Yarrowia lipolytica: one gene and its partner. The protein of the gene in region 1 purifies or fractionates together with the protein of each later gene. This does not show direct contact. Links are inferred from orthologs where the notes say so. Each region holds a gene or a part of one and is shown in the gene's direction. Other genes may lie near its edges.

What was found. The genes of interacting proteins can lie anywhere in the genome.
Region 2: the proteins of YALI1_F18202g (region 1) and YALI1_E22126g purify together in Saccharomyces cerevisiae (affinity purification with western blotting, with the first as the bait; 3 studies listed by BioGRID). This does not show direct contact. The link is inferred for Yarrowia lipolytica from reciprocal best matches to the Saccharomyces cerevisiae genes STE11 and CDC37.

The regions. Positions count from the first base shown.
Region 1 is NC_090775.1:1,814,114-1,825,636, reverse strand, and holds YALI1_F18202g (uncharacterized protein), read left to right. Parts: upstream 1-5,366; coding exon 5,367-8,201; downstream 8,202-11,523. Other genes in the region: YALI1_F18239g (uncharacterized protein), read left to right, coding at 1,732-2,919; YALI1_F18226g (uncharacterized protein), read left to right, coding at 2,945-2,977, 3,028-3,258; YALI1_F18152g (uncharacterized protein), read right to left, coding at 8,556-10,358; YALI1_F18122g (uncharacterized protein), read right to left, coding at 11,474-11,523. UniProt on the Saccharomyces cerevisiae protein: Serine/threonine protein kinase required for cell-type-specific transcription and signal transduction in yeast. It is thought that it phosphorylates the STE7 protein kinase which itself, phosphorylates the FUS3 and or KSS1 kinases.
Region 2 is NC_090774.1:2,206,617-2,216,903, forward strand, and holds YALI1_E22126g (uncharacterized protein), read left to right. Parts: upstream 1-6,019; coding exon 6,020-7,429; downstream 7,430-10,287. Other genes in the region: YALI1_E22070g (uncharacterized protein), read right to left, coding at 1-404; YALI1_E22111g (uncharacterized protein), read right to left, coding at 2,462-4,510; YALI1_E22117g (uncharacterized protein), read left to right, coding at 5,084-5,629; YALI1_E22159g (uncharacterized protein), read right to left, coding at 8,311-9,258. UniProt on the Saccharomyces cerevisiae protein: Co-chaperone that binds to numerous kinases and promotes their interaction with the Hsp90 complex, resulting in stabilization and promotion of their activity.

The DNA.
Region 1 (11,523 bases):
TGAAGGTGGAGGCAAGAGAGAACCCGTTTGCTGTACTGTATCCGTTGAAGGTGAAACCCCGACGGCTCTACCGTCGACACGAGACATGATTATGTTTTCTCCATTACGGCTGAAAAAGCATTGCTTCCTTGTACACACAAAGGAACTGAATGAATCGGTTGTCTCACCAAAATGGAAGAAATCGGCATACTCGTAGCAGCCACGGACTATTGAGATTATCAGGGAGTAGAAACAACTCTTACTGGTATGAACAGACCGTAAAAGGATAACAATCAACACCAAGCATTGCTACTGTGTCGGTATCACCTTCGCTCAGTGTCTGTGCTGTACCGATTCCGTCCACAAGAACCAGAACCACAATACCTCTCTGTGCTGACAGGTACCTCTGCCGGGTGCCTCTGACGGGGGTGCCTCTTCACGCTTAGTCAATGTGCTCAGATACCGCGGCTCTGTTATTCAGCTTGTCTTAAAACATGTTCGTTAATGGAAATTCAGTACACGCTCGACAGTGCCGTCGCCCTCTCGCTGGTGATAACAGCACATCTATGATCTGGTGTGACCCTGCAATTAGACCATTCTAGGATTCTCATGTTCACACTAGTCAAGACGCCGCTCCAAAGCAGCCCTTGCCTTTTCCAGAACCCCAGCATCTCTAAAGGCTTCTATGCATACTAACCTGCGTTCTCGGGAGACTCTACATACGTTCCATTGACATGATACAACCGGGTCGGTTTACGCTAGTCTCATGGGTGCTTTGTCGGTTCGAATATGTAGGATTGAGTCCCAGCTCGATTCCACAAGTCCGTTGTGAAGCAGGATCCTGTGCTCTGGCATCTCTTGCTTTTCAACCGAGCGTCTCTTGCCTTGAAGTGTCTGCCTTGAACTACCACTATCAGTACATGTACATAACACACTTCTTCCCTCCATTGCCATTGAGATACCAAATCATACCCCATCACTTTGATGTCGCTATTCACATGTCTCGCGTACCATACAAAGATGGTCATCTAGGGTCCATGCCAAGGAGACCCCTAGCAATTGCTTATTTTTTCCTGTTCTCATTCCGCATAGTGTCGATCACTAGGCTGCACTTCGGAAGTAAGGCTAACATGTGAGATACAGGCCCATGGTCGCACATGCCCATAGTCGCACATGCCCATAGTCGGTAAAAAATGCATTCCACCAGCCCATCTTCACACCCACAAAACATTATACCTCCGGTGTCCACGTTGTTGTGGGCGTATTAAGGGGCGGTGTATAGACTCAAGTATTGTCCAAGTAAATGGAAATATTAGTAGAATGTGGTCTCAACACAGTTTTCGCGTCTTTCCGTCTTTCCGTCTTCCCAGTTCCGCAAATACGATACTTGTGAGCTATAATATATACCAAAAAGTTCATTGGTTCTATCTCTTGACTTTCTGACCTTCAATTATTTGTCCGCTTTTTTTTCCCAACTGTCCACAATTTTTTTGGTGTTATCTCACACTTCATCATCCCTTACACCCCGCCCAAAGCTTAAATCTCCAGTCCACGTTTCGCTTACATAATCTTACTCCGACATCCGCCAATAACTATCGCATCTCATCAAACGAACCCCGTCAACTCGAACCTCCCGGAATCCCGCCCAAATTTCGCCCCGGTCTTCCCCTATCGTATCACGTGACGTGATTCAGGGTCATCATCACCACCTCACATACAGTTCACAGCTCTAACGACAGACACACATGCAACATGAACTACGCTCTGATAGGCATCACGACCGCCATCTGTGGTAACATTATCATTTCGGTTGCTCTCAATCTCCAACGGTATGCGCATATTCGTCTCGAGGCCGATGTGAGTTCTCCGCATTACACCTCTTCCAAAGTGTGGTGGTGTGGGTTGGCTCTGATGACGATAGGAGAGGCAGGCAACTTTCTGGCATATGCGTTTGCACCAGCGTCGGTCGTCTCTCCACTCGGTGTGTTTGCCATTGTCGCCAATTGCCTGATTGCTCCTATCGTGTTTAAGGAGCGGGTCAAGTGGAGCAACATGATGGGGGTAGCGGTGACGGTGGTAGGCATTCTGTTTGTGGTTCTGAGTGCCACAAGTGCCCAGAGCGACACACGACCGGTGGAACCACGTGATCCGCATGCCATGATAATGGCGGCTCTTCAACAGAAGTCCTTCCTCGTCTACATTGTGTTTGTGTTTGTATCGGCAACGCTGCTGTTGCATTTCTCAAGGCAGCAGTTGCGTCAGCAGACGGCGCTCTTCGTCTACCTTGGTCTGGTGGCCCTCTTTGGCGCTCTGACTGCGCTGAGCACAAAAGCTGTGTCTTCACTGCTTTCTTTTGCATTTCTTAGGGCGCTCTACGATCCACTCACTTACGCTTGTGCGTTTGTTTTGGCTGCCACTGCTGTGTTCCAGATCAACTTTTTGAACCGAGCTCTGCAGACCTTCCCCAGCACTGTGGTGATTCCCACGCACTTCGTGCTGTTCACCTTGTCAGTCATTGTGGGCTCTGCCATGACCTATCACGACTTTGATGGCATGACTCTCGGTCAGATCACATGCTTTGTGGGGGGATGCATCATCACATTTGGAGGAGTGACTGTAATTGCGCGAACCGCTCCTGGTCGACCCAGACTGCAGCAAAACCCGAGCTATTCGAGCTTCAGCACCCGGTCACCGACACCCACAGAGTCGCTGGCGATTCCCAGCGAAGTGTCAGGTCTGTTGGAGGTACCTCCTGATCCCACTCACCAGCTGGCATCGTCTGCACCCGCGCCACATCACCATCATCATGCTCTGAGAAGAACTAGGTCGGCTCATCTAGCATTTGACCCTATCGCACTTGGTGGAATCAGTTTCTTTGTCGACAGCGCGAGAGAATGGAGGAGCCAGAGCTTGGGACGAGGAGAGAGAGAGGAGCCCTAGACTGTGGGTGTGACTCCAGGATACTATGAACGATATGGGGCGGTTGCGCGACAGATGGGTGATCACAGGATTCACCTGTGTGACAAGCCTGTGTAGGAGTTATACTAGAAATCTCTGAATGTGGTGGCTACACGGACTGCCGCTCTTTACAGTTGCAGATTGAACGCTATGAGTCCCAAGCAGCTCTCACCCTCTTTTGCTCGTTCCAACTCCGCACATCTCACGAATTCACAGCTTAGAGTGGAAAGGTCGTCTACCACTCAACATTGCATACATGGCTATCTCAGTAGCTCAATTATTTATTATTCCTTGACTGTAGGCGGTTATCAGCTTCATTGATAGTCATTGATAGTCATGATGGTGTGGACATGTCGGTTGATCCTCTATGAGTAATTATTCTTCACTGACAGCTACGGGAGAGATTACTGTTGGGATGGAGCTCACGACTCGAGGACACGAAGTCGTAATATTCTGATCCAAGCCGATATATATCAATTGTTAGGCTCTGGAACAGTGTACGATACATCTTCATGACAGCCAAGCTGCCACTTGACTCAATGACATAAGTACCGATCAGTATGTACAGCACACTTGTATGTGAGGAACCCCTCGGCTATAATGTTTAGCGAGTAGTTACAAGTAGATGAGGACTAAAATGAGCCGCGAGGGAATGATAGCCCCTTTGCCCTTTCGGTTTTCCCCATTCGTTTCAATCGTTCACTCCGTACCTGTAGTTCACTTGTTCGTTTGATCTTGCCGATTTGATATCTCTCCGCCAGTTAAAAGCCGGATAAAGATACCTCTCCGCCAGTGTCTCAGCTGTTTCATATGTCTCACAATCAGTCTCACTTTTGTTCGTTTTTCATGCCAATATATGTAAAAATGTCTCACGAGCTCTTTTGGCGAGGTCTCAAATCTGCCTCTGGCAGCGGATTTTGATGCATCTTTCGTTTCTTTTTGAACAGGTCCAATTGCGAGATTCTGTACCGCAGTTTTCTTACAGCTCACACATTTGGCCACTTGCAATGGCTCCCGTCTACGGTAGCACAACCACTGTTTGTACATTCCTCGGGGTATTTGTCTGCTTTGGTGCATGGTGTCATTGCTCTGGCAAAGTCAATCGGAAGTCCGCGATTGTGTGAAAAAACCGAAAAATACGAGGTGTTGCTGCACCCTGCCGGCAGTTAGGCAGGGACTCCGTGGTACAGGTTTTGACACGGGATAATGAAACATATTTGCAGGGGTCACATGGTCGAGGGCGGTCCGTAGCGATAGAGTGTGTTCCCGCAGACGGTGTATCAGTGTTGGCAACGAACGACATCCATCACTTTTGAATGGGTCTTTGCACTGTTGGTTTTTTTCCTGTACTCTGCTCAAGGCATGCGGTGATTGACATGAGTGCAGTTCAGGGGTGTATGTGAGTACAGTACATATGGTTCAGTATGTATGTACATACTGTTGGCGAATCTGTGGTCGATTAGAAGAAGATCTTAACCGGATATCTGATATCTGAAGCGGAATCGGTCCGTGGTTGCTTGCCGCAGCCAGAAGCAGTAAGTAGTCTAGTACTTTCACTTCATACAAAGAATATGAGGCACGGATACACATGAGGCACATGAGACGTTTCGGGTCACATCGGGGTAATGGTGGGAATCGGGTAAAAACGAGATAGTGGGGTTCGTTCGGTGAGATAGAAACGGTCAATGAGGCAAGCGTTGGAGCTTACATGTTGTCGGATATGATTAGGGCGAGCATTGCTGTTAATATGGCGTCGATAGCGTGGTGCTGGTTATTGTTTTAAATTAAAGAATTAACGGCGAATAAAATGAAAATGAACTGAAAATGAAAAGAAAAGAAAATGAAAAGAAAAGAAAAGAAAAGGAAACGAAAAGGCTCTGAAAAGGAAAGGAAAAAGCTCTGTAAATTCAGATAAATTCGATATACAGTATACAGGAAATTTGCAAAAACAAAAACAAAAACAAAAAAATAACCATCTACCATCGCCCATTCACTCTCCTCTACACACTCCATCCTTACAGTAGCTACTGTACTTGACTTGACTGTACTTGTACGGTCGTATCCACAGCATTTTAAAGTGCAAGGGTATCGTAGATCGGGTATCTCCAGTCAATGTCGGGGAGATGGCGTAACCATATACAAAAGGGGTGTGTGTGCACAGACGTTCTATACCCTCCGAACTAATAATACCTCGCTGCCTTATCCCATGCTCCCCCATACCACACCAATGCCGAGCTTTTAGCACCTCCACACACACCCTTGCACCGAACCACACCGGCAACTCCCACAAAGCCAAACATGTCCAAAGCCAAAAGTGCCAACCCAAAAGTGCCAACCGTCAGAGTGCCGCCAAAAGTGAACCACCACCCTTACTAACCCTGCACTAATCAAACGTCGTCCGTCCGACTCTCCATTCTTCTGTAAACGGCATGTCGGAGTATCTCCCGCCTCCGCCGCCGCTGTCGCCGTTTTCGGAATGGTTTGAATTCGGCGACACAGACCTGCAAATTGACAAATTGCAACTGGCACCGGACCAGAGTACCGCGACCACGCCTTCCACAGCAGGCACAACCTCCGCCTCAGCCCCCACACAACCTCCGCCACCACCGCCAGCGCCTTTTATCTCCGCCCGCGAGTCTTCCATGAACGTGGGACCCCAACATCTTCCTAGAGACATGGGCAGACCTCCCCAGCCTACACATAGTCAGTCTCAACCATCACATTCCCAGATACACACACAGATCCCTAAGCATGCTCCCCCACCCATTCCAACGTTAAAAAAGCCGCCACCGCCCATCCGGCACTACTCGAGCCCTTCGAATGGCTCCTCGGCGGCCAATGCCATCCCGGGAGCCAATCACCCGCCCCCACAAGCCCAGAGCCAGCATTCACAGGCCGCCCAGGCCGCCCAACAAGCTCATGCGGCCCTTCATGCGGCTCAGAGCGCATCGGCACCCGTCTCGGCCGTCTCACCAGTGTCAAACACTCCATTGGTCACGTCGTGGGACAAGACCAAGGTGGCCGAATGGCTGCGATCGCTTAAGTGTGCAGAGTACATCCCCATGTTTGAGCAGAACGAAATCTGTGGTGAAGTGCTGCTGGAAATCGACCAGAAGCTGCTCAAGGACATGGGTGTGGTCAAAGTGGGTGACCGGGTAAGAATCAATGTGGCCATCAAGGATTTGCGAAGCCAACATAGAAAAACCACTTTGCAGAATCAGCAACCTACCCCACACCAGCGTTCACAGCACAGAACTGGAAAAACTCTGTCATATTTGGACGAGCAATGCGTCTCCCCCTTTGCAAGCCATGGTCTTGGCATCTCGTCATCGTCAGGAACCCCAGTCACCCCAGACAGAGCATCTAGCGCTGGATCAGACTTCTCCAGCCACCTTAGACCCCAAACAGCGCGGGCTCCTTCCTCCACCACATCTACTGGCGACGTTAAGGGTATCTTGTCCATGGACCAGGTTCGACAGGGAACTGTCAAGTTCATCTACACCATGGGCCAGAGCAAGACAGTTAACATTTCAGGCTGCTTCAATGCCGAATCAATCATTCGCACGGCACTCAAGAAGTTTGCCATTAAGGATTCGCCCAACAACTGGTGTATCCATGTTTCCGATAATGCATTCGCCACATCCACCCGGATTGTGTCTGACAATGAGCTGGTGACCATCTGCCACTCTCCTTCACGTGCTGAGCGTCGTCGACTCATGCTGTGTCTCAACGACATGCCTCCCACTCAAAAGCAGTTTGCCAAGTCTCAATCTGTGTTGCTGGAGTCTGTGGACACAAACACAAACTCGTCTTCGTCTTCCGGCAACTACTCGGCCAACCAGCCTACCATTTCGCAACTCTCGGGCGACTACTTTTCGTCCGACCCCCAAAAAATGGCCCCGCTGCCCCGATCCAATCTTCCCCACAATTCTCGACGACTTCAGAGATTCGGTCATCGACCTCCTTCGGAGCTCATTTCTTCCAACCTGGCAGAATATTTTCCTCAGGCAGGCTCCAAGGTGTTGGAGCAGACGATCCGAAACTCGATTCGGTTTTCCAACCGAATGTCCCGCATGAGTACCAGTACTGCGTCCAACTACAACTACAACCGAATGAGTATTGCGACCATCTCGTCGTTCATGAACAACGAGGGCGGGATTGGCTCGGAAAACGACTCGGACAATATCCCTGCTGTTCCGGAGATTCCTTCGGATCTCTCGATGCCCCAAACTCTTACTCGAGAGTCCATGCAGCCCAGCCGAACACAGTCTTCGTCCCAGGTTGAGCGTGGAAGCTCTCTGCGAAAGAGTACAGCATCCATTCCTGCTACTCTCGAGACTCTGAGCCAGCAAGAAGAGGCTGCATCAGCAGCAGCTTCAGCAACAGCTTCTCTCGTGGACCCTCCCCACAGCGCTACCCCTTCCGAGGATGACATGTCAGATGAGCAGATCATTGCAATGCAGTCTGAGGCTCCCAAGAACTGGATCAAGGGTACGTTGATTGGCCAGGGCTCGTTTGGATGTGTTCATCTTGGCATGAACAGTCTTACTGGAGAGCTTATGGCCGTCAAGCAGGTTTCTCTGGGCGACTTTTCCAAAACATCGCATAAGCAGGCCATGGTTGACGCTCTTCAGCGTGAGATGAATTTGCTACGGGATTTCCAGCATGACAACATTGTGCAGTATCTTGGTTCGTCTTCTGACGAGGAGTATCTCAACATTTTCCTCGAGTACGTTCCTGGTGGTTCCGTGTCTTCTATGCTGACCAAATATGGACAGTTTGAGGAACCTCTTGTCAAACATTTTGTGCGCCAGATTCTTAAGGGTCTCGATTACTTGCATTCTAGAAACATCATCCATCGAGACATCAAGGGCGCCAATGTGCTGGTGGACAACAAGGGAAATGTGAAGATTTCCGATTTCGGCATTTCTAAGAAGATCGAGGCTTCATCGTCCAACCGGCAGTCTCTTCAGGGCTCTGTTTACTGGATGGCCCCCGAGGTTGTCAAGCAGACGAGTTACACTCTCAAGGCCGACATTTGGAGTTTAGGGTGTCTGATTGTGGAAATGTTGACCGGCTCGCATCCGTTTCCTCAATTCAGTCAGATGCAGGCCATTTTCAAGATTGGTACCAGTGGTAGACCCGACATTCCTGAAAACTGTTCTGAGGACACTAAGGACATGCTTCGGCAGACCTTTGAGCAGGATTACAACAAGCGTCCGTCGGCCGCGGAGTTGCTGGCCCACGAGTTTTTGAATACGTGATGCTTGTATGATGGTATTTAATGAATGAAGCTAGCCATTGAGGAGACTTGATGGTTCTATTTAATAATGATCCAAGATCGCAACCCCCATATTAACCTTATTTCATATAAAGTTGCGTCTCGGTTAGGCGTGCGTGATTGAAATTAATTAATTTCGGATAAACTCAGGTAAAATCGTGTAAATGAGTTTCCATTACGAATACAAGATGATAACGGATCGGCTCGGATACATAACTGTCCATTGACGTTACATACTATCAGTGGAAGTCTACAATTTGTTGGATAGTAATAGTCATGAAATATATTAAGGGGGTCATATGCTGTTGAATGCAAATAAATAAGTTGAATTAGTGTTTTAGGCAGAGTGGATAGAAACAGCCTGGCTCTTGATTGCGGCCTTCTCGTCATGAGGTTTCACCTCGATAATCGTCTCAGGCACATGTTCCAGACCTTCACCTGTAGACGAGTTGTAGAGCACAATACCGTTCTCCTTGGCATGCTGTCGTTCGTCTCGCTTGTAGAAGTAGAGAACGACCATGGTCCAGATCATAAGACAGAAGGCAGAGCAAGCAGTAAAAGTGAAACCCTTGAGGTATCGAGGAGCCTCCGAGGTTTTCCATACGAGCACGGAAATCCAAGCAGTGGAGGTCTGGGCCATCATGTTCATGATCATGAGAATGATGGCTCTGACCTGGGGGTCGTGACGACAGATATCGTTGAGCCAGGAGTACATGGTGGCTGCCATGGCCCATCCAAAGTACTGGAGCATCCAGGCAAACCACTTGGCTCCCTCGGGAACGTCCCAGACGGCGAGAATCGTGTTACCAGTGAAGTTGAATAGCTGGGTGAAGACAATGGCTCCCCATCGAGATCCGAAAAGATCAGCAATGCCGACAGTGAGTACAATCCAGACCATACCAAGACCGGGGGTAATGGCTCCCAGATCGTTGACCTTGGAGTTTGTGTATCGCTGCTCGCCCTCGGAGTTTTTGAGAGACTTGAGCCACAGAAGGTAGGCTCCAGAGGTACCGTTGTTGTTGTTCCAGCAGAAGATGCCCTCGAGACAGAGCACGTAGATTTGCCAGGAGGAAAAGATCTTTTTCCACATGCCTCGATCACCAAAGGAGTACTTTGGCTTGGGGGGTTCGCCGGAGGTTCGCTCCTTGTGGTCCTTGAGACGTTCTCGGGCAAGCACGACTTCCTCCTTGGACAGGAAGATGGAGTAGCACTTCTCGGGGGTTCCAGGAATCATCCACAGACCGATGATACCAATGGGCATGGTGATGATTCCGTCAATGATAAACAGCCATCTCCATCCCTCAAGCCCGTTAACGCCGTCGAGATGCTTGACGGCTCCAGCGGCGATGACAGAAGAGGTGAGCACTCCGAAGAACTGAGCGAGGTACATGAAACCAGCTCGTCGGTTGATTTCCTTGGGCTTGAACCACGATCCGAGCAGGTAATGCAAAGCAGGATAAAGAGAGGCCTCGAAGGCTCCAACAAGAAATCGCATGGCCTGAATGCCTCCGACATTGTTCATCTTGTACTGACACAGAGTCATGATACCCCAGCAGAAGTCGAGGAGAGGGAGAACAATATGGAGAGGGACCTTGGGGAGCAGAAACATGAAGGGGAGCTGGAACACGATGGCTCCGACGGAGAAAATGGCCTGAGTGTTGACCAGGTCATTGCCTTTGAAATGGACATCGTCAGAGAGACCGGCAACGTAGGCGTTGTTCAGGTTAGTCTGGTCGAGGAACTTGACCCAGTAGATGAGAAAGGCGTAGCAGGAGAGCAGAATGTCGAGTTTCCAGATGAGTTTTCGCTCGGCAGGAGTATCGTTTTCGTCGAACCACTTGAACCACTTTTGGCCAGATCGGTCCTGCTTATTAAGACGGTACTCGTACTCATCAAAGAACTTCCACCAGGGTCGGCCCGCCTCGTCTCGGTACTCGAGCTCTTTTTCCTCGGTCACGCCCAGAGCCACAGACACAATGTCCGAGTCCTCGGCGGTGATTTTCTCAGAGCTGCTGTGTTCATCAGTGTCCGATACCGCAGCGGTTACCACCGGAGGAGCGTATTTGGGGTGGCTCTGGTAGACGTTGTTGTAGTCCGTTTCCGACGGAGTATTGAGATGGGGAAGGAACTTCCAGACCATGATTTTCGCTTGTGTGAGACCGATGAGATACTTTGGACCACTTTAGCAGCTCCATTCATATATATATATATACATATCTTTTTTTGTACATCTGACCCGGAATCTTCGTACCCAGGTATGAGCACGGTTCACGTGACGGTGCAAGAGCGTCTAAAGTTGTTGGAGTGCTGCTGATAGGCATCCAGCCGGGTGTGGCTTGTTCACAGGGACCTGAGGAAAAAGAAAAAGAAAAAACGGGAGTGCCAAGCGAGGAGATTGAGATGTTGCTGTGCAGAAAAAATGAGTCCATTTCACGTGAGTTGGCATCAGCCGTGCGGAGACCATCTGGAATGATTGCAGGATATCTCAACAATATCACGGCTCAACATAGACCCAGCTGGTGCCACTGTATCACGGACCCATGCCTGATTCATACGAAGCACATTAACTCTTGGCCTGTCCTCTTTCGAGCCTTGGTTTCTCTTTAGAGCCGTCCAAGCTTTTCTTTAGATCTGCCTTAATTTAGCGCCTTTTTTTTTTTTTTATTCCTTCTTCTTCTTCTGCCATGAAAGTCAAATGTTCTACTGTATATGGCGCATTAACGGAGACTGCGTCCCACCGAACTCACTGTGAACTGGCGTGGCCGGCACATACCCCGGAACTGCCTGCTTCTTGTTTCTCTGCACGCTGTGATGGACTCGGAGCGCTGTACATAGGAGACCTACTTTACGATACTCTACCCCTCTTCATAATGTCGACTCCTACTTACATCACAATGCTTGACACAGCCAACCACCATCTTCCAGGGCCACCGGAACAACCTCTCGAAAACCTTGCCAAAGGTTTGCTATATTCGTTATGGCGGTAAATTTCGCTAAACTCTTCCACCTGGGCTACAGTACATACATGGGGGGTGCGGCCCTAAGGGTGTTCACTGCACGGATTGCTGCAGTATGGGGAATGCATCCTACAGGCACTAATCAGCTAAGTTTGACTCTGATCGCGTAATATGATACCCAGGACCATTTTTTGTTAGTTTGTTCCATAACTACCAATGTTCATGCCATCGTTCATTCATTTATCTAAATTAGTGGCAGAAACAGAGACATGATCGGACCTTGTTATCTTTGCGGCGCCTATCTCTGTGGCTGCTCTAAAGCCTCTAAACCATCAGGCCCCTTAGCTT
Region 2 (10,287 bases), on another chromosome or scaffold:
ACCGACTCGGCGTACTTGGGCTGCTCAGACAGGGCCGGGTTGTAGCTGCTGTCCATGGGCGGATCGTCTCGAGGTCCAAACAGCGCAGTCTTGTCCTCCTCGAGCTCCCGGTCAACGTTGCCAAACCGCGATCCGTAGCCCTGGTTGGCAGATGCGTAGGGGTTGACGGCACCTGGCATGGGGGGCGGGGGCAGCTCGGGCTCCTCGGGCAGTCCCACGTCATAAACGGGCTCGTAGTCGTCTCGTTCTGCGTCGTTGTAGTCTGTGGGAGCCACGTATTGGCGCGGTCGAAGTCGTGGGTCTTCCAGGGGTGGAGGTGCCTCTTCCTTTTTGCTTCGTCCAAACCGCTTGAACTTGGACGACTTGGCTGGGGATTCTTTTGGTGGTGCTCCATTCTGAGGCATGCTGTAGGGACTGTTTTTGTGGCGGGCGGGGGAGCGGCGGTTGTTGCCACCGTTTTTTCATTTTGTAGGGGGCTGCCGTTGCTACACCGCCGTTGCTGTTGCTACCGCCGTTGCTGTTGCTACCGCCGTTGCCGCCACCTCCATTGCTGTATGGATCACTGCCTCCGTATGGTGATCCGGACGCTCCACCTGCGGCGGCGGCGGCGTAGGGGTTTCCTCCGCTGGGCTGTTGGTTCTGGACGGCGTAGGGGTTGCTTCGGGCCGCCGGAGGAGCCGCAGACGACTTCTGGGTCACCTGGGCGGCGTAGTTTTTGTATGCATCGAACTTGTTTCGGTTGTAGCCGTTGACGTCGGTCTTGACCAACAGACCCGCGTCTTGCATCGACTCCCGGATCTCCGACTCGGTCGGATCCTTCTTTTTGAACATCTTTTTGAACCCCATCGTTGCTGTGGTTTTTCCGTGACTGTGTGTTGGTGCTGGTGCTGGTGATGAAAACGATTAGCTGATGAAGTGTCTATTTCCAGTGCATCCCAACGGCATTCGAACTGTATTTTCGCATCGAGGCTGTGCCCTCGTAAAAGTAGTCCGAGGAAAGAACAGCCAACAACCGAGACGGTAGACAAGCCCGTGGCGGCGGGGGACGGGGCTGTGTGGACTAGTGGGTCATGTGCTCGCTCCCCTTTGATTTGTTTTTAATTGCTTTCCTTTTTTTCCCCATTTTTCCCGCGCTATACATCCTCCGTTTCCCCTTGGCTTACCCCCCTTTTTTTTTTCCTCAGAAAAATAGCCCCGAGAGGGGACGGTGATCTGCCCAAGGGGTGATAAGCGTTATTTCGAGTCCAGTAGAGTGACAGCTTGTGACCAACTCTAAGAGAAACGAGACAAGATCGAAAGAGAGGGTTGGTAGGAGCTGCCAGTACCTTCTACGTAGGAAAATGTACCTTCTACTTGTGGCTGCTACTGTACTTGTAGCTCCAGTGCTAACTGGACTGTAGTTGAGTTGCTCGTACTCGCGTCAGAAAGCAGATCGCCACTGCAGGGGTATTGTAAAGAGAGTAGCCACTCTTATGCGGTGAAGAACATATCTGGGGTTTCGAGTGTCGGAGTAAGATGGGAGTTGTGAAGATATATATGTTATACCGGAGTCTTTCCTACCCTCGCTCGTGAAGTCTTGCTATTTATATAGAGTTATTTATAGAGTTAGTTGAGGTGGAGTGGGTCAAGTAATGTCAAGTAATGTCAAGTAATTGTTAAGTAATGTCAATTAATGATCTACAGTAGTAAGGGTAAGTATGACCGAGTAATAGTGAGGAGTATCCAACTACGTCAAATGAGAACATAAAACAGTACAATACAATAGCCACATATAATACAAGCTTGGGTAGCTAGAGGTACTATATGTACTCGTATGTAGTTTTGCCACATTCGAGAGAGTTTACTTTATCAGGTTTTTTGGTGAAATTATATATAATATATATATTCTTTCAAAGCCAAAGTTATAAATAAATGAATGTATGCCGAAAAAATATATATACACATATATTAAAAATGTGTGAATGTAAAAGATAGAAAACGAAAAATCTGGACCAACAATACAATAATAACACCAAAACAGCAATAAAGAGCCTCTACACTCTCTATACCCCCTTTACGACACCCTATACGCTCATGATCGTGTTGGTAACTCCAAACAACCAGAAGTCCCGAGATAAGATATTCTGTTGGCTGAGCTCAATCGCCCCACAAAACAGAAGATACTGGATACACCCAGACCTGTCAAAGGTCTGAAGATGCTAATACAGACAACGACAAGGATAGCTTTACCTTGGATCCATAAATATATATACATATATACATAGGATCGACGCTCGCTGTGTCCGACAAACCTCGGATCACCAAACAAGGTTGAGATAAGAAATCGGTGCATTATCGAAACTCTTTCTAAAATACCGAAAATCGCCAGATGATCAACACCTTTCATCTCATCATTATTATAACTTATAAAACTGCTTCAACATGCAAACCCACATAAGACTGTGTCTTCAGGGTCTTCCTTTCATGGAAGGAAGACACTGGAGTAAGACTCAACATCCCGCCGACAACACACACATCCCTTGAAGTTCTTCCACTGCAACTCATGGCGACAAATTCCACACAGAGCAAAACATCGGCAAGGCCACACAATGACGGACCGTTCTTCGTACTGACAAACAACACAGTACCGTCGTTCGTCCTTGCGCTCCATGCCTTCATATCGTTGTCGCGCCTCCATAATCACCTGGGCGAGTTTTGTTCCCTCGTCTTCAGCCAACAGACCAAACTTGGACCGTGTCAGCCGATGTTGGTTCATGTGGGCAGTCAGAATCTTGGACTCCTTCGCATTAGGCTGGGAGATGATGGATGTTAGTTCCGAGGGGTCGTACAATGTCTGGAGTTCTGACTGGCGACGTTTTCGAAGTCGGCTCTTGTGCTGTCGACTAGTATTGGTAGTCTCTTCAGTTTCTGTTCCAGAAGACGATTCAGAAAGAATGGCCTGTTCTGCAATGGTCTCTGAGACCATCATCTGCTCTTCCAAAACGTCGTCGCTATGCATTCCCTCGTCGTCGTACACCTCGTCACCCCACTCCTCGTCTTCCTCACTTCCATAATCCGAGTGCAACTCGTACGCCATATCATCCTCGTCGTAGACAGGTTCGGTATACACGTAGTCCTCCTCTTCTGATTCATCAGCAAACGACGCCGACAGAATCGTTATCGTTTCGCCGTCGGAAGTGTGGAAGCTTTGAGTATGCGGCTGCTGAGCCTTGGACTGGAAAATAGACCGGAGCATGCCTCTCAGAGTAAAAAAGACCATGAGGGAATAGATGCGCAGAAACTCAACGTAAACACGAACGCGGTCCATGAGCTGGTTGGCAATACCCACATTGTACTGGTCTATCAACTGCTTGACCCCATCAGGGGGCATAAAGACTTGGTTGCCGTACCCCGGCGAGCTTCCCAGTTCTCGAGTTCTGTTCGGATCACGGAAGAACCGAAGCTGCTGGTCAATCCAGGTCTCGGAAGGCGTCTCCAGGTATCCGGCGTTAATGTATCTGTTTTTTGACGCAGACTTGGTAACGTTGTTGCTGACAACCTCGAACCAGGTGTAGAAGTCCTGCGAGAGGGACACACGTTCAAACAGAATGGAGGGCACCCTTTTGCCTGTCATGAGCATAGTGGCCACCTCCATGACGACTGTGCTGAAGATGACGTAGGTGTAGATGACCTGGGGCATGAAACCCAACACCAGAATCAGCGGGAAGTTGAGCAGTCTTCCCTTCATGGCCTGAACCTGGAAGAAGGCTAGGAACGACAGACCCACCAGAGCCGAGGGGATAAGCCTGTATCTGTTGAGTTTGAAGATGGCCAGCAGGTGAATAAATACGTGGCTCACGAGCCCCATCAAGCATATGACGATAATCTCGGGAACCGGCTCCTTGAGCTGGGCCGCTTCGTGGAACGACAGAGAGTACTCTATCAGAGACATGTTGGACTCTGAGTACGGCACCTGGCCCTGGATGAGCGACACGAACGTCTCGACGAGCTGGGAGATGCAGATGCACCTGAACATACCTGGGTAGGCGTCGGTCAGGGTGTCTTTTGTGAGCGAAGATGCCGGCAGCAGGTAGCGCGCCAGAGCGCCGATCCAGCTGGGACCCCAGGTTGCAGAGGCCTTAAACAGTCGCCACAGGTGCGGCAGAGACAGCATGATGGGGATACTTCGTGCCATGGTCTGGCTGGCAGCCGGCAGCACCGTGGCTCTTCGGCGCTGTGCAAACTCCCACATTCGGTTCATGATGACGGCCATGATGACCGACGTTGACGCGTACGAGCTAACAATGTAGACCACGTGGATGGTGAACTTGGACTCGGGCTTGAGCCAGAACTCGAGGTTTTGCTGCAGAGTGTCGGCAAACGGAGGGGCAGACTGAATCGTGGCCGTGGCTGTCTGGGCCGTGATAGACGAGAGTGTGGGGGTGATCTGGGCGGAGTCTGAGACCAGCGTTTCGGTCGCCGCCACCCCGAGGTCGCCCCCCACCCACTGCACAAATTCCAGAATGTCCATATAGACCAGAGTCGTTGGTGTGGGGATGGTCTGTTGGAGTCAGTCGCACACAGCTCTACTGCTAGTCGGAAATTCAATTAATTAACTCGGAAGGTGGGAGGATATGTTGGGGTGCTTTATCGGTTGCTTTATCGGGGAGAGAGAAACGCGATTAGACCACCCCTCTGGGTGGGTTTATATTTCGAAAAAATATCCAAAATTCGCGGAAACGACTCTTCTATATTACTGGATATTTTTCTCTATTTTAAGTATTTTTCAACCCCCCCAAACACCCCCCTACTGTTCACCCACCCACCCCCGCCGCTCGGCTTATCTCCCTAACTTGCTAACCCTATTTGCCCATAGTGAGCAGGTCTCTACTGGTATGCCAACTACGGACCAACTAGGGACTTTTCAGACTTGTCAGACATGTGATAGTTGCGCTATGGTGGATTATAAACGACAAAAAACAAGACCTTCTCACATGATGACCGCCCATCAACATCCACAAACTCACGGCTGACTTCCATCAACTCTCTTGGAATCAAACTCTCCCTCATCACCTCCCCCAGTCGCCCTTCTCCAGATACCACCATGCCCGCAAGTGGAGAATTCACCTGGCAACTCACAGGAAACGTGGCCATCAACACGCTCTTCTCGGCCGCTTTCCCCGTCTTCACAGCCATCTACGCCATCCGCGGACTCAAGCAGGGCGCCATTGAGACCGCGAGCAAGTCCGAAGCCCGTCTGGCCAAAAAACTCGACATTGACGCAGAAACTCTGTACGAAAACTACTCACCGCTCATTCTCATCGGATACCCAATCTTTGCCGTCAATCTGCAGCCGCTGGGAACTCTGGCTCTTCTCTGGAGCCGAACCACCGGCCTCATTGACCATCTCTCTGATCAGCAGCTGGAAAATGCGCTCAGCACATGGTCCAAGTTCTCACAAGTCTACACCTGGGCAACTGGAGGCATATGCGTGGCAGCCCTGGGAATCTGGTCTCGACGACGTCAGCAGCGACGTAGCAAGCAGGTGACCAAGAAGATGCCTCTTTTGGGCGCTCCCGAGATTTCTCTGCTGCTCTTCTCGGCTATTTTCCTGCCCGTTGTTAGTCAGCCCATTGAGGTGTTCCCTTGATTACTATAGAGCGATGATAACATTGCTGTCCAAAATGTTGATGTTATTTATATGATATGAATACTGGAGACGAGACTGGCTGCCTACGTACAGTACATACTCGTCAACTATTAGGCCAAGTAACAATAACGTTCAAGTAGAGTGTTCTGGAAGAACCTGGAAAGGGGGTGGTATTGGGCGCAATTGATAAGAAAGGAGCGGTTTTTTCGTTTGAAATCGCATCTTCCAGTCTCAATTATCCGTCTCACGTGCTCATTTATCCAGTTATCTTTCTCGTACCCCTTTTTCTATGCATCTACCTCAAACCTCTCCACGTGACACTGCCCTACAGCAAACCATATATATATACTGTATACTTGATCCCCATCTCAACATCAGACACAAACAAGAATGGTGCTGGATTACTCGAAATGGGACAAGATTGAACTGTCGGACGACTCGGACGTGGAGGTGCATCCCAACGTGGACAAGAAATCGTTCATCCGATGGAAGCAACGAGACATCCATGAGAAGAGAGATCGAAATAAGATGGAGATTGCGTCGCTGGAGCTCACCATGAAGATCGATGTGGAGCTGGTGGAGCGTCTGGACAAGCTGCTTAGTCTGCCTCAGGCGCAGCTGGCCAAAGACTCCATTGAGGAGCTGCTGGTCAAGTCCAAAGAGGGTCTCAAGGCCAAAGATACCCCCACCGCGCCCAATCCCCAGAAAGAAGGGGAGCAGATGAACTGTGACGACATGCTGGAGAGTCTTCTGGACATGATCAAACCCGACGTGGATACCGACAACGGCGCCACCTTCTACGACAAGCTGAAGGAACATAGAGACAAGCTGGTGGACCACGACAAGAGCCACCGAGAGCGCCTAGCCGAGCTCTACGACGAAAAGGCAAAGTACATCACCTCCGAGGACGTGCACGATGTCTACAACTCTACAGTTTTGAACAAGACTGCAGAGCCCGATGCTGGAGAAGACGATCTGGCCGATCTGGAACGGCCCAAGAAGACCGAGACCACCATGGAGACTCTCAACAGTCCTGGACAGTCGACTTCTTCTGACGCTCCTGTTGAGAGCACGCTGGCCAAGGCTTCTGACGACACAGATGATGACTATTCTGATCCGTCTCCTGCTGCCCGCAAGTTTGCCGAGATTCCCGCTGATGATCTCAAGGAGTGCTACCGGTTTGTTTCGAAACACCCCGAGATTTGCACCGAGAAGGAGAAGGATGCGCTGGTTATGGAGGGGTTCCAACTGCAACTTGCCGGCAAGACTGCCGACATGGAGAGAACGGTTCACAATGCCATTTTATTGCAGTACTGTGCGCAGCTGGGCCCCAACGGCTACAGAAACTTCTTTGAGCGGATCCTGCAACCTCAGGGCCACCCCGCTCTCGAGGTGCTCAAGAAAGACGTGGCGTTCACCATCAACCATGTCAAGACGCGGTGCGAGATTCTCAAGAAGGAGAGCGAGGAGGAAAATGAGCAGATCCAGCTGCATGCCGTCGACCCCAACACGGAGATTGTGGTGAACCAGCCGCCCCAGGATGACGCGGACGCCATGAAGGTTTTTGGCGAGCTGTCGCCTGAGATGCAGAAGGCGGTCGAGTCCGGCAAGCTGGAGGAAATCAACAAGGTTCTGGCCAACTACTCGGTGGAAGATGCCGAGAAGGTGCTGCGAATGTTCGATGAATGCGGCATTCTCGCCGTGGAGGAAAAGATCTACGATGCAACCGAGTGGCAGAAGCAGAACAAGGACAAGGAGGTCCGGGATAACGTGGACCAGATTGTGCACAAGGAGGAGTGACCAGAGTCAAACTACAGTATGTACAAGCGCGGTACTTGTATGTACACGAGCACATAGGAATAAGATAGTCATACAGGAAAAAAGCAATTGTGAAACAAGCAATACCAGCTGTGCAGACGATACTGTGCGGGTGAAACATGTCTGCACGGTTTAATACTGTCTTAGTGCTTGTCCATGATGCAGGTTGGACAAGCCGATCGGCATAACTTGTAACAATGAAACGTATATGAGACTGCACCTTCCATGGGGGAACTGCACAGCGCACAAGACAACGTTTGAGACAGTAATGCAGCCTTCTCTCGATTGTTCCAGCTGCAATTTCCAAGTCCATTATCACGCCAGCAGGTACTTGTACAAGGGCGGGCTAGTTGATAGAATGAAGTCATGGACCAAGTCAAGCAACCTTTTGAACTTGTCGGATCAACTGGACCTTGCTATCACGTCGACAAATGTCTCTGAAAAGCTCCACAATGGGACCTTCAACACCCCTGACTGAGAATGTACCACACCAGCTGTACTTCAGCCTAATTCTTAGCTCTATGGCGCATAGTCAAGCTGAGACATCGAGTCCAAGACGCATTAACACAAGGTGGGCGCTATCTCTTCAATGTATGTACGAGGACATGAGCATATATCGCATTGTCATACCCAAAGGAGAATATCTCGGCGGTTTAGGTACTACTCTAAACGACGGGAATACGTCCAGAGTACGCCCAGAACACGTGGGGAATCCTTCCGGACGACTCAGGGACGTGCGTTCGCTTGCATTGTGCTCCTAAATGCCTCAGGGACATGCGTTGGGTGGGATTGTGATTGTTTTGTCACAGCTCACTATGTCTCTCCGGTTCATAAGCAATAACTTATCTATTCTCTATCTGTAGTTACTCCCTGTGGACGGCCTTCTTGTATTCGTCCTTGTCCTTCTCGTCGGCGTGGACCATTCGAGGCAGTTCGTAGCCCTCGGTGGTTCGGCCGTAAGAAATGCCTCCGAGTCGAGACACGGCCTTGATCTTGGTCACGTCGAGAAAGTTGAGATCCTCGTTGATCACGTCCTCGCGGGCGTGGAACTGGACCGCCTGCACCAGAACCGTGGTGTTGGTATGCTTGTTGGGATCAGCGACCGAGTACAGATCGTAATGATGCAGAAGCTTCACCTCCACGGAGAAACACGACTCGGCCACGTGAGCAGGCTTGACAATTTCAGACTCCACGGGGGTGAGACCGCTCACCAGCCACTCATCCACGTCGGAGGGCGCGGCAATGGCACACGAGTTGGCCGCTTCAACGAACCACTCACTGATGATGTTGATGGTGGCCTCCTTGGTGTCGAGCAGGTTTTGGCAGCTGTCTTTGTGGCCGTTGGGGGTTCGGGTCATGCCAATGGCGAACACGGGCGGGTCTGACGACACCATGTTGAAGAAGGAGAAGGGCGCTAGGTTCCGCACTCCGTCCTTGCTCACTGTGGACAGAAACGCAATGGGCCGGGGGGTCACGGCGCCAATCAGCAGCTTGTAATTGAACATGGGCGGCCGGCCCTCGGCCGTGGGACTGAAGCTCACCTTTTTGTGTTTCTTCCACCCGTCATCCTGCGAGTTGGCTCCATCTCCAAACTGCCACTCCGTGTTGGGCGTGTTTGTGAAGGTGAATCCCGGTCGATCTACGAATGCCGGTCGCTCCTTCTCGAGCTCCTTGAGGCTAGGGTGTCGTGACATGGAAGCGGAAAGTGTGGAAAAGAGTCGAGAAACGATTTGGTGGCGATAAACGATTTGGTGGCGATAAACGATTCGGTGGCCTGGTCGTATAGTCAGTCGAGACATTAGCCTGCTCATCACCAGAGCCTATTATAAACATTTTGGCCGCACAATTAAACTCTGCTTCCCCACCGGTTATCGACAACCGCGTATGGGGGAAAAAATTAAATTAAAATTAAATTAAATTAAATTAAATTAAATTGAATTGAATTGAATTGAATTTAAGAATTGAATTGAATTGGAATTGAATTGAATAAAAATAAAATAAAACAAAAACAAAAGGAGAAAAATGAGGAAAATGCGAGAAAAATAAATAAATAAAAGGATCCCTCATCTCAGGATGGTGATGAGGACTCAGTGGGAACCGTCGCGGTCGTCGGTCATTCAGATTAGTCATCGAGTGGAAATGCAAATGGGAGTCACGTGACTCTCTCCGAACCAACACTGAGTCCATCATTAATTTCTTGCAAGCCTTGTACTCGCACAATACCAGTACATACTACGGTATTAGTACGATGAGCAGAGGCCGGCGGTTGTTGGCTGTTGACTGAGATGTCGAATGACATGTCGGATAACAACTTGTGGCCCCCTGAGTTGGTCATCCAGACTGACTGTCATGTTATGGGTCACGCTGATCTTCTGTTATTCTGGAACAGATATCGACACAATTCGAATCGATCAGACGAGGACTGGCCTGGAGCGGCGAAAAACAGGTCGTATATCAGGAGAGACGCGGAACTGGACATGGGAGAGCGTTGTGAGGCTGATCAGAGGGTACTGGCTGCGACTTGCGCTGGCTGAGTGGTTTGGAATCTCTGGACGCACCTACAACCAATCTTGACAGCCACAAGCCAGAGTAGCTGCAAGTTCTTCTGACTGTGCTTCAGGACTCGTGAGAAGCCATCGCAGGGAGTGTGGGCTGTGAAGCACATCGGCGTATATCCAAGTATGCGACCGACGCATCTAACCAACTGGAGATACCTTCAGGTATAGGTCAATTTTGAAGAAACGGGATTTCCAAAAGTTGGAGCCTTTTCAACTCACCCTGGTATGACTCCAACTTTTAGTAATTCCGTTTCTACATACACCGCTAGTTGCAACAAAAGA